Drosophila melanogaster: one gene and its partners. The protein of the gene in region 1 interacts with the protein of each later gene in a pairwise test. Each region holds a gene or a part of one and is shown on either strand. Other genes may lie near its edges. The genes, in order: SCaMC, grsm and CG2608.

What was found.
Region 2: the proteins of SCaMC (region 1) and grsm interact in a two-hybrid assay, tested with the Drosophila melanogaster proteins (one large-scale study listed by BioGRID).
Region 3: the proteins of SCaMC (region 1) and CG2608 interact in a two-hybrid assay, tested with the Drosophila melanogaster proteins (one large-scale study listed by BioGRID).

What each region holds. Positions count from the first base shown.
Region 1 is NT_037436.4:12,411,703-12,417,429, reverse strand, and holds the start of SCaMC (short Calcium-binding mitochondrial carrier), read left to right. Parts: upstream 1-2,587; 5' UTR 2,588-2,728; intron 2,729-3,343; 5' UTR 3,344-3,526; coding exon 3,527-3,982; intron 3,983-4,973; coding exon 4,974-5,100; intron 5,101-5,157; coding exon 5,158-5,245; intron 5,246-5,307; coding exon 5,308-5,419; intron 5,420-5,727. Other genes in the region: ArfGAP1 (ADP-ribosylation factor GTPase activating protein 1), read left to right, coding at 218-277, 343-890, 951-1,155, 1,426-1,485, 1,561-2,094.
Region 2 is NT_033777.3:12,964,713-12,970,401, reverse strand, and holds the start of grsm (granny smith), read left to right. Parts: upstream 1-2,689; 5' UTR 2,690-2,801; coding exon 2,802-2,948; intron 2,949-3,023; coding exon 3,024-3,242; intron 3,243-3,653; exon of another isoform or gene 3,654-3,799; coding exon of another isoform or gene 3,800-3,849; intron 3,850-3,925; coding exon of another isoform or gene 3,926-4,373; exon of another isoform or gene 4,374-4,464; intron 4,465-4,478; exon of another isoform or gene 4,479-4,629; coding exon of another isoform or gene 4,630-4,959; intron 4,960-5,025; coding exon of another isoform or gene 5,026-5,689. Other genes in the region: CG7381 (uncharacterized protein), read left to right, coding at 1-79, 154-771, 862-981, 1,052-1,171, 1,235-1,639, 1,709-1,840, 1,905-2,057, 2,119-2,219; CG14384 (uncharacterized protein), read left to right, coding at 3,800-3,849, 3,926-4,373; Cyp304a1 (cytochrome P450 304a1), read right to left, coding at 4,630-4,959, 5,026-5,689.
Region 3 is NT_033779.5:20,643,561-20,648,317, forward strand, and holds CG2608 (uncharacterized protein), read left to right. Parts: upstream 1-2,261; 5' UTR 2,262-2,400; intron 2,401-2,483; 5' UTR 2,484-2,534; coding exon 2,535-3,302; 3' UTR 3,303-3,821; downstream 3,822-4,757. Other genes in the region: phr6-4 ((6-4)-photolyase), read right to left, coding at 85-1,040, 1,104-1,770.

The DNA of each region.
Region 1 (5,727 bases):
GGCGTTCGTCGCGATCCGTGGACTTTAAAGGCTCGTAAGCGTGTGTGAGAGCTTCAAATCGCCCCATCTCAAAGCCAAGATTGCACCCAAATCAGCGCCAGCGTCAGCAAAAGTTTCATTAGCAACTCGGTTATCAGCTGCGAAACTGAAGCCAACTGAACGCAAAGAGTTGGGCAATCCGCCAGAGCAGGGCCAGAAACCATAGAAACCAGTTGCCATGGCGAGTCCCAGAACGCGACGGGTGCTCCAGGAACTGAAACCCCAGGATGAGAACTCGGTAGGTTTGCTCCTTTGTCCACATACGCTAGATAAGCTTCAATTTCTTTGTTTAAAAATGACTAGAAATGCTTCGAGTGCGGTACCCACAATCCGCAGTGGGTGTCCGTGACCTACGGCATCTGGATCTGCCTGGAGTGCTCCGGCAAGCATCGCAGTCTGGGCGTGCATCTGTCCTTCGTGCGCTCCGTCACTATGGATAAGTGGAAGGACATCGAGCTGGAGAAGATGAAGGCGGGCGGCAATCGCAATGCGCGCGAGTTTCTGGAGGATCAGGAGGACTGGAACGAACGGGCGCCTATCACGCAGCGTTACAACTCGAAGGCGGCTGCTTTGTACCGCGATAAGATAGCCACCTTGGCCCAGGGCAAGAGCTGGGATCTCAAGGAGGCGCAAGGCCGCGTGGGCAGCAACAATAGCTTCAGCTCAGGTGGCTCCAGCAACAGCAGCTACCAGTCGCGACCCAGTGCAACAGGTTATGGCGGAAACGGAGGCTATCAGAATGGCGGAGGCGCCGAGCCTGGAGGCTATCAGCAGTACCAAACGCAGGAGTTCAAGGACCAGAAGGAGGAGTTCTTCAGCCGACGCCAAGTGGAGAATGCCTCCAGGCCAGAGTAGGATCTTAATGGCATATCTGTCCATTAGCTATGATTTATCCTAGTTGATTGTTTCAGAAACTTGCCACCGAGTCAGGGCGGAAAATATGCAGGTTTCGGGTTCACACGCGAACCACCACCGAAAACGCAATCTCAGGAGCTTTTCGACTCGACGCTTTCCACTTTGGCCTCTGGCTGGAGCCTTTTCTCCACCAACGCCTCCAAGTTGGCCAGCACCGCCAAGGAGAAGGCCGTCACCACCGTCAATTTGGCCTCGACAAAGGTGAGTCCTGCGCCTCAGCTCGTATATCTTTCAGATTTTGATTCCTTATTTGCCTATTCTCTTCGATTTGGTTCAATATTATGTTGATTTTGTATTCTTTTGGTTTATTATTAGTCTGCTGATTAGTTTTAAATAATTTAAAGCTGTAGAAACCCACCTTAACAACAAAAGAGAGCAAAATCCCTTTAGTTAATCCCCATATTTGTTTGTTAATTTAATTGGTACACCTTATTGTTTGTATTATTTATTTGCATCTTTTTTTGGTTGTAGATTAAAGAGGGAACTCTGCTAGATTCCGTACAATGCGGAGTTACCGATGTAGCCAGCAAGGTCTGTAGTTCCCCATCATCCAGTTAATCTTCTCTAAACCCACATCCCTCTAACATATAAACATACCGATCGCAGGTCACCGATATGGGCAAACGAGGTTGGAATAATCTGGCGGGCAGCAACATTTCGTCGCCGCAGGGCGGATACAACGATCCCAACTTCGAGGACAGCAGCGCCTACCAGCGTTCCAATTCCGTGGGCGGTAATCTGGCCGGAGGCTTGGGTCAGCAGAGCGGCGTCAGCGACAGCGACTGGGGCGGCTGGCAGGACAACGGCAACAGCAAGTCGCACATGACCAGCTCGAGTTCGTACCACAATCAGTTGAGTAGCAGCAGCGGCGGCGGTACCGCCTCCGCCGGCCTAACCCGCGACGCTGACTGGTCCGGCTTCGAGGCGACGAACTATCAGAGTTCAGAGACCTCCTACCAGAACGCTTCGTCCGGCGGATCGACAGCTCGCCGCAACATGAAGCTGCAGGACACATCGCAGAAGCTGAGCGAGGGCTTCGAGAGCCTGGACGTGAAGAGTGTGAAGCCCAAGACGGCAACGGCCTCGTCCGCCAACAAAGGCACTGCCGAGGACGACGCCTGGAATCTGCTGATGAACTAGAAACCGTGGCGAGCAGCTTATGCGATTGTATTTTTTGTATTCCATTCGGTTGTCAAGTTGTGTCTCCTTTGTTTTATGTGTCTCTTGATGTCTGGCCCCGAGGCTGCTATGCGCGCATTTAATGTAACCAACTGAATTGTGTATTCATTCTTCGACTTCAAACATAAAGTGCAACTATTCCCGATTATTTCCACAGTTTAGACCAATTTTGTATAGATCTACTTAACTAACGAATTACTTAGCTTAAAGTGTATGCCAGGATACTGCGAGGGATGCGAGATGAGAAAATACATATTATGTTAACAAGTGTAGTCGTTCGTTTTTTAAATGGGCGGTTTTAAATTCAAAAAATATAAATATTTGCAAATTTAAAAAATACATTTAAAATTAATAGTGTTACCCTACAATTCCACATTTTAAAAACCACAAATAGGTTTGAGTCACGGCTAAGCAGTGACGCGATGCATTTTAGGGTATTTTCGACCACACAAGAAGTATATCTAGATAAACGTTCGTGGTCACACTGGCAAACCCAAAAAATTAAAATTGAAGAGTTCTGCGTGAATCGCTTTAAGCCACAAAGTCGCCGAAATAGCGTAAAAGCAGACGAACTCTTAAATAGCTCGACCAGTAGGTAGTGACCACAGAAAAAGTGGGAAATGCAATTGAAGCTTGCCACTTTCTTTTGCATATCCACATTCCTTTCGCCTGCATGTGAGCGTGTGTGTGTGTGTGTGCATGAAAATCGAGTGCAGAATAATTTTTGCCAAATTGGCAACAATTTGCAAGCGTTTCGAGAGAAATTTGAGTCACACCTGTCTGGAAAATGGGCGGAGAATTCAGAAAAGAATGTAGAAAGTGTGTGAGAGCGTGAAGAATTCTTCGGTTAAAGCTACGCTTTGCAAAGTAGAAAGTTCGAGTTGCTGGGGGAAAGTCTCCCTTTTCCCAACACTCCCCCCCTCTACCACGACTTTTGGAGACATGTGCGTGCGTGTGCGTGAAGCTGTGGGTTTTTCAAGGTTTTCCGGAAAATCGCTGGCCTTCAAAATTAACTGCGAAAATCAATGGGATGTGGGTTGTACGCGGGATCCTGAAAATTGGCACCTACAATGTACATATGTAGTTCTCCAGCCAAGAAGAGGATGACTTCATCGCGGGGAAATTCGATACGTTGAGCTGTTTTATTTATCTTTCGCCCAGACATAACATTATAAACTAATGTGTATACAACACTCGATACCTCTTTCAGACGACTGTTTTTCCATTTGACTTGCCAAGTAGTGCAAAATGAGCCGGCCATAAGAGCAGAGCAGCTGATAGCCCAACACGTAATCCCCCAGAGAATCGGAAACCGAGCAAACCCAGAGAAATCCTTCAGCTGCCAGTTAAAGAACAGAAAACTCAAGGTAAACTGTAAACACGAGTGTGGAGAATGGTCAGAAAGCAAGTTGGAATCGAAAACAGTGCATCCTTAGCAGTAAGCAAGCAGCAGGATCAAAAGGAGCAGGACTATAAGCCAGAGGATCAAAAGCAACAGCACATCGACATCGACTTGACGCCCGATCCGGCCAGCAACTTCAACTTCGCCCAGCAGGCGCAGGCCAACTACTCCGCCCGCACGCTAGCCGCCAGCTATGAGCACGGCCAAAATCTCGGCCTGCAACATGCCCATCTTGCCACCAGCAGCACTACCAACACGCCCTTGGCCTATGATCTGCACGAGGTCGCCAGCTCCGGCTCCATCCTGCCCACCGAGATCCCCATCGAGGACGAGGAGCGGCTGGAGCGCATCTTCAACAAGCTGGACCGCGATGGCGACGGCAGGATCGATATCCACGACCTGTCAGCGGCACTGCACGAGTTCGGGTTGTCGAGCGTTTACGCGGAGGTGAGCAAAGCCTATTTATAGGATGATATATGGAAGCCATCACATCTCATCTAGCTATTTCAAATGTATCATGGATAGGACATATCTGAGGCTCCCATGATTTTAACAGATGTATCTTAGGGTAGAAAACAAGCAATCTTGATTAGCATAGTTGAACTACACGTGCCCTGGGCTCGCCATTTTCACAGGGAACTAACAATGCCTTTTTCTATTTGCTATTCTTCGCCAAACAGAAGGCAGACGGTTGAGATCAATAATATGCGGCCTTGACGGGCAAAAGTATCTGAGAATCTTAATTTATACATTTTGCATTGTTTGCTTGCTCTGATCAAGGCGAAACATTTGGCACTGCTGCTGACCCTGGGCAGCCTGACCCTTTCATTGTGTCATTTTTGCAGTTGCCAAAAAAGGGCTTATTAAATCAAAAGAAATGTGGGGTGGCAAACCAGGCGAAGATGAATATTCTATTTTTAGATGAGCACAATATTATTTCGCGTACAAATCTCTTTGTTTGACTAACAGATATTGTTTGTGGTATTATTAGCAGCTTTGTTTATATTTTAGCCAAAACAAACTAGATATAAAGAAATTTAAACTATTACTTTTATCCTGTGACCTAAATTCTGCTCCATTATACTTCTAGTGAAATCCTATATTAGTTTATTTATGTTGCACAAATCGCCAGATTGTGAAATTACATGCAACAAGTATTGTGACAACTTCCGAAAGCAATCAGAATTGGATTAGATGGTATATAGAGGGTTAATGTGCAGACAACTGAGTAGATTTATATGGTTTCCGCCGGCGAAGCCCGCATGATACGAGAAATTGATTTGCTTTCACGATTCAGGTCGATACTCTAGTCAGCGGCTCACTATGCGAAAGGCCTGCGAGTGTTCGACACAAATTTTCCAGTAATATTCCGGCAGTGAATCTAGTAAATTTTCCAGGAGCAATGCCAGTAATATTCCGCACTTGCTTTCCATTACAGAAATTCCTTCAGCAGTCGGACAAGGATCAGAGCGGCAACGTGGGCTTCGCCGAGTTCCTGCACTACGTGCGGGAGCATGAGAAGAACCTGGTCCTGCAGTTCTCGCACCTAGATAAAAATCGCGATGGTGGGTAATTGATTAAACCTTAATTGGATTAGTTCTTATAAGTGAATTGTATTACAGGCAAAGTGGACTTGGAGGAGCTGATATCGGCGTTCAAGGACCTGGGCCTGGACATTGACATGGACGAGGCCAGAAATCTGCTCACCAGGTGGGTTAATTATCCTCAACTTTCTTTTGTGCATGTGTTAATACGCGTGACTTTTCTTGCAGAATGGACAAGGATGGCAGCCTGAACATTAGCTTTAACGAGTGGCGGGACTTCATGCTCTTGGCGCCCTCAACGGACATTCATGACTTGATTAAATTTTGGCGGCACTCTACTGTGAGTTTACTAGAGATACGTTTTGCAAGTTGCTGAATTCATAAAACAGAGAGCAGTGGTTCTTCGAAGGTGTTCCACTGTTTCTCTGGATTAGTTTTCGTTCTATCGCGTTTGTTTTTAAAATATCTATGTACACTAGTATACATGTAGCTGTTTAACGTTAACTAATTGCCAACTTTTACCCTTCTTATCCCCTCGCCCATATCCAAAAACAAAATTAAACCGAAAAAACACACACTTCACACACTAACAAACCAAAATGTCGAATGTAGTACCTACACCCACACTACTCCTGACTAACTGAGGAA
Region 2 (5,689 bases), on another chromosome or scaffold:
AGTTGTCAGCAAAACGTGTGCGGCTGTGCAAATGGCTATTATAACAGATATGGAAACATCTGCCGTCGCAAATCAATGGGTATGTGTTAGTCGAGAAGTTATTGTAAATGGTATATATGGCTCTATATGGCTCTATATATGCCTGATTTTCAGAAGAAAACGATGCCTGCGTCGTTAACGCGGACTGTGATGAACTGGGCGCCGGTGTCGAGTGCGTTGGCCTAGTATGCACCTATGTGGACGAGATCACAACGACTCCGGGTGGCGAGACCGAGGAAACGGAGACCACCAATCCGGGCTCGCCAGAGGATGATGATTCAACCACAGCCGAGGCGATCACCGAGACTGCCGATCCGGAACAGGAGACCGCTTTCAGTAGCCGAAGGCAGCTAACCAAGGCCTTTGTACACGCCCCCCCGCCCACTCACAGCGATGCCGCCGCCCAGGTGTCCTTCGCCCAGCTCACCAATGGCGACACCGAGCCGCTCATCTCGCCCCGATCCCACGAGATTGCCGTCCAGACGAGCATCGAGAAGTACGAGCTGAGGGAGGTGGGACGAAGTGTGCGCAATGCGGCCACCGCCACCACCACAACGACAGCCACCGCCTCCACGAGCACCAGTAGCAGGCGCAACTCCAGCCGCAACCAGAGACACGCCCATGGCCAAAGACGCCGCTTGCCCGCCCTCTTCCGATTCGATGACGAGGATATAAAGACCTACTCCACGCTGGGTTCCAGCCGCGATGACGACGATGCCGATGAGAAGAAGTGTGAGTATCCAAGAATGCCCCCAAAAAAATGAAGTCTCTCAATGCTTAGGCAATCTTAAATATATTTCAACTATTTTTTTTCCCATTTAGATGGCAGCAGCTGCACGGATAATGGAAAGACATGCTCGGGTCTGCCGCACTCGATTTGTTCCAAGAATATTTGCCTATGTCGCCAGGGTTACTATGCCCGCAATGGAAAATGTTTTGCCGGTGAGTAAACTGGGTTTCCCCCAATTTAATTCTTCTATTAATGAAATTAACTGAAATGAAAATTCTTTAGAACTGGGGGAAATTGCGGAGAGCACGGATGAGTGCGAGTACGAGTTCGATCAGTTGACCAAAACTTGCAATTGCCAAAAGAATTATTTCTACGAGCGGGATCTGCGCAATTGCAGAAAACGTAGGTGGTTCCAACGCTAGCTGCTGAATCGCACTTAAGATATATCCTTTTCCATCAAAACAGCCATTCAATACCACTTATCCTGCACCTCGAACAGCCAATGCAGTCCATTTGGCGCCTCCTATTGCCACCCGGAGATTCCGAGGAGGTGCACCTGCGAGGAGTACGCTCTCTACGATGCCATCAAGCAGCTCTGCGAATACAAACGTGGCCTGGGAGCCGAGTGTGAGTCGAACGATGGCTGTCCTGTGGATCACTCCGTCTGCTCCAATCGCGTGTGCGTTTGTGCGGACAACTACTTTGAGAAGGACGATCAGTGTATGCGTGGCATCGGTGCCGACTGCTCGGTGGAGGATGACTGCATACCTGAGAACACCGAATGCCAGGAGAAGGACGAGGAGGATCAGTCGCGCACCTGCCAGTGCCGAAAGGGATACGTGCACTTTAAGGATGAGTGCCTAAAAGAGGGTTAGTACTCAGAAGCTGAAATGCAAAGCAGCAAAATTATGCCCTGCCCCACATTACATTTCATTATAGCCGAGGAGCTGGAGGACGAGTGCGTCGAGGATGAGCAGTGCAAGCCGCTCCTGGCGAGCTGCAATTCGGAGGGCAAGTGTGGATGCAACGATGAGCAGCATGCTAAGAACGGAGTCTGTGAGACGAAGCGAGGTAATTGAGTCGCTAAGCTTTCTTTAATTATTTGTAATAATTCTAATATGTTGCAATCTTGCAGAGCTGGGAGAGTCGTGCACCAAGGCCACCGAGTGCTATGTAGAAAAGGATCCCGAGAATGTCGAGTGCCGCAACTCCGTGTGCCAGTGCAAGCTGGGCTACTCGGCGAACGCCAATCAGAATCAATGCATTCGCGTGATGCCCAATAAGAAAAGTAAGTGTCCTTGCAAAACCAATTGAGTAAGGATGATCTATGAATGTCACGCTTTTCGCAGATTCTTCCGGTAGACCAAGTGCTCTCAAAATCATCACCTTCATGCTGATTGGCTCCGCTTTCCTTATCACCAGTGCGGCCATAAAGCAGGCCTACTACTAGAACCAAACCAAAACCTAAATCCTTTCACCTGCGTGTTTGGGGAATGGCGAGGATAATCGAGGGAGGAGTTGGCCAAGGACCTTGGGGGGATCGGGGTGATTTGGGGATCGGCGGGAGTGGCCAGTATTAGCCAAGTTACTGGCATGGATGCAGGTCCATGCGCAACGTGAATATAAATCAATTAGTTCGTAAGTTGATATTTAGGAGTCGAAGCAATATAAATTTGGAGAAAGGGTCCTCGGAACGGAACGACTCTCGCTTATCTAATACGGCTAAGTGTAATGACAAATTATCTGTAAGTTTTGAAGTTAAACCGCTTGTTGCTAGGCTAAGCGAACAGTTTTTAACCAAATTGTAATATATACATCATAATAAACTAAGGCCAACGAAGAGTTGTGTATCAAATCCAGAAACTGGCAATTATTATTAAACAAGTAGTTTTGAGATTTCACTTCTATCAGTTAGCAACAGCAACTCAACTCAAATTTGTACCTTTCAATTTTTCAAGCTCGAATGTTTTGTACGTAATTCTTAGTTTAGCATCCTAAATTTCAGTACGTTAGTTGAAAAGTATAAGTAGAGATGGCACCGTATCCAAACGGCTTTTTAAGTTACGCGGTGGCTATACATCTTAAATCCCCGCACCTCCAAATGGAGGAGTCACTGCGTCAGGGAGCGGGGTACTGGAATGCATTGAGTTCGCGAGAAAAGAATCAGTATCGATCGAAAGTAAGTTCCTAGGGATTACACACTTTCCCCCTGACCGGCGAACTTTATCTTCTGCCCTTCGTTAATACCCTGCAGTACCAGAAACGGTGTCTCAGCAAAAGCTCCACTTCGCGTCATCGGCGTCAATCGGAGAAACTCAAACATATGGGATGCGGCCGCAAGAAAATAGTGCCCAAGTGTTCCCGAAAGCCCACGACTCCGGCCTGCAAGCCAAGGAGCGTCAATAGGTGTCCCCGGAAAAGCAGCTCCAACCGCTCGAGTCGTGAATGCATGCTGATGAAGTCACCAAAAGGCGTAAGTGCCAGTAGTTTAAATAATATTAACATTTATTTTATTATTTATAAAAGTTACTTTTAAGTAAGATATATTTTCATGTGTATGTCAACTTCACTTGTTTTGATAGTGAATTTTAAACACTGGGTTCATAGCGAACAAGTTGTCGTTTTCGTAACCAAACAATTATCACCTTGTTTTCAACTCTATTTTCTATTTTTTTTGTTGCCACTCAATTGTCTTAATATTGATAAGGGCATTTTGGTCAAAGTGTTTGCACATTATCTTGCAGTTTGCTATTTTATTTTTGTTATCAGCTCGGCTAGTAAAACAATCTGCAGTAATTTGACTGTATCTTTTGATTTATATTCGATTTGCGACCCATTTAAAATGGAGATTAAAATCTAGGGACCTTGAATTTCTGTATTTCAGAAGCTCATATTTGCATTCGAATCGAAGAGAACAGTAAAACAGTGTCAAATATTTCTGGGTGAACTTTCCGAGTACAAATAGGTCAAAGTTGATTTTGTCGTAAGACAATTGCTAAACTGAACTGCCTATAAATTTCAAGTCTCAAAATGTCCCTCAATTGCCCGGTTCATAATAAGAACTCCAGTGGCTTAAACATGTAAGTTTCGGCCAAGAGATCGCTTTCGATATCCGGCGTATGTGTTCCTTGTGGTAACAATGTGGTTTGCATACAGTACCAGGTCCGCAACCTCGGATGACGTCAAGATCGCCATGTGCGCCTGCTTGGAATTGGCCAACTGTCGGGCCGAAAACTGTCAGCTGAAGAAGAAACTGACCGAATATGAGGCCAAGATCTGCAGTCTCGAACAACTGGTGGCCACCATTGCGGAGGAGCAGAACCAGATTCGCCAAGAAGTGATCGAGTTGCGCAATGAGACTCAGGGTGCAACGATGGAAGCCGCCAACGAGGTGGATCCTTTGGACAACTCATTCGTGAACCCGCAAGAGGAAATGGACGATGAGGAAGGATACGATCCGGATTCAGAATCCGAGTACAATGCTATCCAGTCCCCCAATCCCTCAATACATTCTTCGATGGTCTCGCTGGTTCGCTCATTGAGTTTTTCATCCACCAGCTCAGATTCTGATTGCATTGTATACAGCGATAATGAGGATTTCTAAGAAACCCATCTCATTCCAATCGCATCTTCTCAACAAGTTCCGTTCGCGAACTTTGATACCACACGATATGAGTAAACGACAATGTTAAAATAAATAGTTCGTTGTGGTGCATCACATAATAGTATTGGGCAATTCTAGAATATTTTTGAAATGTGACGGAATAAAATTCCTCAAAAAATATCCAAGCAAACTAGCTAACGTAATCAGTAAAATTACTTTGTCTTAAAAATAGATAACTCTAATATCTTGGCTACTTTCAATGCCGATCCTGTAGTTGCAGCCAGAAATCTGGTGGCGAAATAATCAGTCCATTGAGGTTCTGGGAGAGATCGGGCAACCGATCATTGGGGCCCAGGACGAAGTCAAAGTGCTGGCACATGGTCGCTGTCACCAGGAAGAGCATGTTGCGCGCAAATGTCTCGCCGGCACAGAGCCGTTTTCCCGCTCCAAAGGGCAGCGAGACATCCAGTTTCAGGCAGAGCTTGCCATCCGCGTCCAGGAATCTCTCCGGCCGGAACTGCTCCGGATCCGACCAAATACGGGCGTCCGAGTGGAAGGCATACAGGCTGGGCACGACAATGGTGTCCTGTACGGGTATATAGGGGAAAATAGTTTGGTTTTTAAAATTAAATAGATAGGAAACTTTTCTAACCTTGGGTATCCGGTAGCCCAGCAATTCGGTGTCCTCCAGCGCCTTGTGCGGGACATCCGAGGGAACCAGCGTCTCGATGCGCAGACCTTCGCGAATGGTGGCCTCCGTGAAGGGCAAGTTCTTGCGATCCTCCAGGTTGGGCAATCGTCCGCATCCCACCACCTCGTCGATCTCGTTCTGAACCCGCCGCAGAACTGCCGGATATAGCATGAGATACTGGACGAGTAGCGATAGCTGCACTCCGATGGCAGTGAAGGCCGGAAAGGAGAAGTCCACCAGGCCCATGATCAATTGATCCCGATTGAAACCGTAGCCCGGACCTCGGCGCATTTCAGCTATGTAGACATCCATGAAGTTGCGCTCCACACCCTCTTCGTAGCTGTCCAAATACTTATCCACAAAGTCGGCAAAGAACTGCCGCACGAATAGGTTGGACTCGTTTAGCTTGTTGTAGCCACTCCATTCGGGCCAAATGTGCCGAATCCACGGTATAATGCTCAACATTTTGCCGTAGTCGTCCGCATTCCGCTGGAACTGTATGCCCATCTGGCAGAGCTTCACCAATTTGCCCATTTCCTCGCGACTCAGGCACTCATTGTAGACAATGTAAAAGTGAGCGTTGGCCGAGAAGGGATTAAAGAGCAGCGGCAGAAGCACGCGATAT
Region 3 (4,757 bases), on another chromosome or scaffold:
ACAATTCTTCCATCCTTAATTCATATTAGCTCACTCCGTAGATCTAACTACCTTTTACATAAGGTAGCGAACAAATTTTAGGTTTTAACGTTTTCGCTTAGGGGCACTTCCGGTTGCCCTTCGCACCTTCCGCTTGCCAGACGTGGAGGTTTCTGATTTCTCCTCGAAAGACGACTCCTCCTCCTTGCCAGTGCGCACCTCCCGATTTACTTTGTAGGCGGCGCCCATTCTCTTAATGTTCTCCTTGTGCACCACTTCGTGTTTAACAATCCGGTGGGGATAATCCGTGCCGAGGACGCAGCCGTATGCCCGCTGATCCACCAGCGACGCCTTCCAGGGCTCATAAATACAGCCAGCAGGATATTTTGAGAGTTCCGGCACATACTTCCTGATATAGTGCCCTTGGGGATCCGTTTTCTTGCCAAACGCCACCGGACTGTAGACGCGAAAATACTGGTGAAAGAAAGCGGACGCAGATAGCCACATCCAGTTGCCAGCGTTTAGTGCCCAGTCCTGATCCAGCAGCAGCTGCTCGAACACCCGCTGTCCCTCCTCCCAACTGATCCAGAGGTCTCCGCGCGTTAAGAAACATGCCACTGCATGCCGGGCCAGATGATGGATCCAACCCTCCTGGCGCAGCTGACGCATGATGGCGTCGATGAAAGGATATCCTGTGCGTCCGTGTGTCCAGGCCTCCAAGTGATCTGGATGCTCCTGCCACGGAATTTGCATGCAGTATACATTGCCCAACATTCGATCGAAATTGGGTTCCGCAGCCGCCACTGTGTAGTAAAATTCCCTCCACATGAGTTGTCCAATGAGCGAAACGGGCGGCTGCGAGTGCTTCGGCTGGCGTTTGATAATTTCCTTGAGCTTTTGATTGAACAGTCGGGCACTAAGGCATCCAAATTTGAGGTAAGGGCTTAGTACGGTAGTGCTAGGCTCCAGCGAGTTGGGTGCCGTGTTGGGCTTCTCAAAGCGGGCAACCCAAATTTCATCCTTTAGGGATTCCTCCATGCGGCGCAGTGCCTCTGTTTCGCCTGTTTGATAAAAAGAAATCCACATTGTTGTAGTTGTGATCAAGAGTTTAACTATGTTTTTACCTCCCGGAAACTTATTAGGGCCCAGTTCCTCCGGGCGTTTTACTAATTGCTTCATCGTAGGACAATCATAGGCCGCCGAATCCTTTTGCTCCACCTCATCTTTGGGTGGTGTAGGCATGTTTTTAAGCTTTTCAGGAACCCCTAGAACTTTAGGTACCTTTAGTTGCTCCACAATGCCCAGGAACTTTTGATAGGTAATTGGAGCCTTGCCAAGATTCTTCGCTATTACTAATTCCGGATTATAAATCGTGTGGGAGCAATGAGTTTCCACTCTCACACCCTCTGCCTTGGCCAACTTCTGCACGGCAGCATCCCGGGTCACGGAGTACGGCTCGATATCTGTCTCAAAAGTTAGCATTTCCACGCGCCAACTCTTAAAAATACGGGGAAAAACCTCTGCGGGCTTCCCGCGCACCACAAACAGACGGGAATTAAGTTTCCGAAGCTGGTTATCCAAGTCCTCCAGCGTTTGCTGCAGGAATCGCCATCGATTGGCACCCACTTGCATCCAATCGAGGATTCCTGGATCCAAAATGAAAATCGGGCGAACAAAGTATTTTCCTGGAGCAGCGTTAGCGGCGGTAAAAATGTGCGATAATGCCGGATTGTCGTGCAACCGGAGTCCTTTACGGAACCAGTGGACCAACGTGGACCTTTGTGAATCCATTTTGGCACGTGTCCCCGATTTCAAACGGTACCTATGCGGATTTATCGTAGAAAATATATTTCAAAAGCAAGAGCGTTCTAACGAACCTGCCAACACGTTTTCTGAACTTATTTACACTGCGCTGCAAGGAAAGTGTATAATGTTCTGGTGAGCGTGTTTATTTTGTTCACATACGTAGATAGGGCAAGTGCAAATAATATGAAGACAAATTTCATTGCATAATATGAAATTTAAATATGTTCACAATAATATTTTATGATGTAAAAACGTAGAACTTGTTAAACGTTCATGCTCTACATGCTTTAATCAATTTAAAATTACAAAATGAAATGTCTAACCTCTTTTTACATGTTTTGAGCAAGATATTGTATATACATTTTTTTAAATCTTTCAAGAATTTATGTTTCAAGTCGTCCGTCGAGTGTAAACAGCTGTTTTGCGATTCGAAAATACCGAAGTATGGCAATAGCGACCAAGTTGGCCATCCTCACTTTCAGTATTTTTTGCAGAGTTTATTTGGTGCACAAGCACCGGTAGTCAATATAATTATAATTACATTAAACCACCTAAAACAAGCTGATCAACCGCAATCAAACATCTCAACGGGATAATAATAAACGCCAGAGAGTGGTAAGTTCCTAACAATACGGCCACGAAGAGCGAACAGCTCGATTAACTGAAATTCCCTCGCATATCTTTCGATGGCATTGCAGGCGCACATCCGCCAATTGCTCAACATTAAGCGAGGAAAACACGGCGGAAAAATGGATCTGCTCGACTCAATACTCAACGCCATGGATGCGCCGCCTGCCAACAACGAGCAACAGAAGACGCTGATCAAGAAACAGCGCGAAATGTTAGAGCGGATGCAGAACAAACAGAAAGAGGAGCTCCTCCGATTCCGAAAATATGTAGACGAACGGATGGGGCGATTCGCCAAGGACGACAGGCGATGCATCGAGTTTCAGCCGCTGGATAAAGTGCATCGCTCGGTGATCCACGAAGTAGCCGAAAATGGCGGCTTCATTGCCATGAGCTTTGGCCGCGAGGATGTGGACCGACATTCGGTTGTGTACAAAAAGGAACACGCTCCTGGCGAGGATGAGGTCACGGCCCGTCGGAACGGAGACGGTTGGAACGAGGAGATAGCCAAGGAGTACGCGGAGCGACGGCGGGAACGATTGGCGCAGGAGCAAAGTGACAAAGAAGCCTCCACATCCGAAGCAGCAAGTTCAGGCTCGTCCACATCCACATCAGCGGATCAGGACTCCGGCGAAGTTAAGCCCACGACCAACTACAAGGCCAAGTATGCCCACCTCATCGGAGAGTCGGCCGCACTGCAGGCGGCCCGTAAGACGGAGACCAACCAAAGCTACGGATTCGTGCCTAGCAAGAATAAGAAGGATGTGCGCTCCATCGAACAAACTTTGGCCGACATCCAGGCCAAAAAGCGTCTGCGATTGGCTCAGCAGCAGGAGCTGGAGCAAGAGCAGCAAGCGCAAGAGGCAACCACATCCACAGAGGACCCATGAGTCGCCTGTGACCCAATTAGTATACAGATAGCTCACTTAATGCAAGACTGTCGCAACCAAAAAAAAGGATTATACTTCTTAAATCAGAATCAGAGAATCAGACATGACATGCTCGTCTTGTTCGCAAACTCCTGCTCGATAACATCGACAATATTTGACAAAACAGAGCAGTAATCATCTTCAGGGAGCCAAAGATTTTTAAATTTATAGTATTCATACTATGTTTTTGCCCACATTAATCGTATTTGGTAATAGGCTTGATACTAATTTTTATCTTAGGTTAGCCCCATTAAATTAAATGCCCTTTTTTTTTGAGTAATGACAGCCTTGTATCGAGTGAGATTAGTTTTGTTGATTCAGATTAGTCACATGAAAGGTCTCTGACTGCCATGTAAATCATAAGTAATAAGCAATTTCATTTGTTGGCCAATTAAGATCCGAAAGTTGTACATGTTTTAAGCAAGTTATGTGTCCGTAGCAGAGTCCGAATCGCAATATCTATTTATATAATAAAAACCTAAAAAAAAAAACGTCGCAAGGTTCAAAAAAATCTTAAAAACGGGGCGCCACTCAAAAATCACCAAAAAATACAGAATATTTCCATTCCAGTATTTTCTTGTTCGTCACTTCTTTCTTGTCACGGTGGTGAAGAAGCAGTCACAGTTTAATGCCAGCCGAAAGCCGCACCACGTGTTGCCCATTCCAAGAAAAATAAACTAAATTAGCACGATGGCTAATAGAAAACGCAACAAAATTTTGCTTAATACAATAGAGAAAGATATGTCAAATAGCTGAAAGTTATATGGTAACTAAAAGATGTGCGGATCACGAGAAACGAGCAATTCACTTTGACAGCCTGGCAGCTGTGACCCAAAGAGTCTCACTTTGAGACTTCTTGGGACCAACCAGCATGGGAAGTTTACGCGGTAAGAATAATACAGAAAGAAGATCTCCACAACCATGATGAAATCGTTAGATGGGGACAACTGATTACTGTGACTGATTCATCTCGATAGTAGATCTGATTTTAAAAATGTTGCTAGCCTACGTGCTTTCATGTTCAACAGCACTAAAATAACTCGTTCTTTTTATATAATGCAGAAAACTGATGTTTCTGACTGAAAACCGACGAAAGAATGGTTTCCACACTTGTAAGTATAATGATTGCTAAAGATTTATGATTTTTTTTTTTTTGTGATGAAATCGTTAGATAGGGACGTCTGATATCTGTGACTGATTTATCTCGATAGTAGATCTGATTTTAAAAATACTGTTAGCTTGCGTGATTTTATGTTCAACAACACTACAATAACTCTTTCTTTTTAGATAATGCAGAAAAACTGATGTTTCTGACTGAAAACCGACGAAAGAATGATTTCCACACTTGTAAGTATAATGATTGCTAAAGATTTATGATTTTTTTTTGTGATGAAATCGTTAGATAGGGACGTCTGA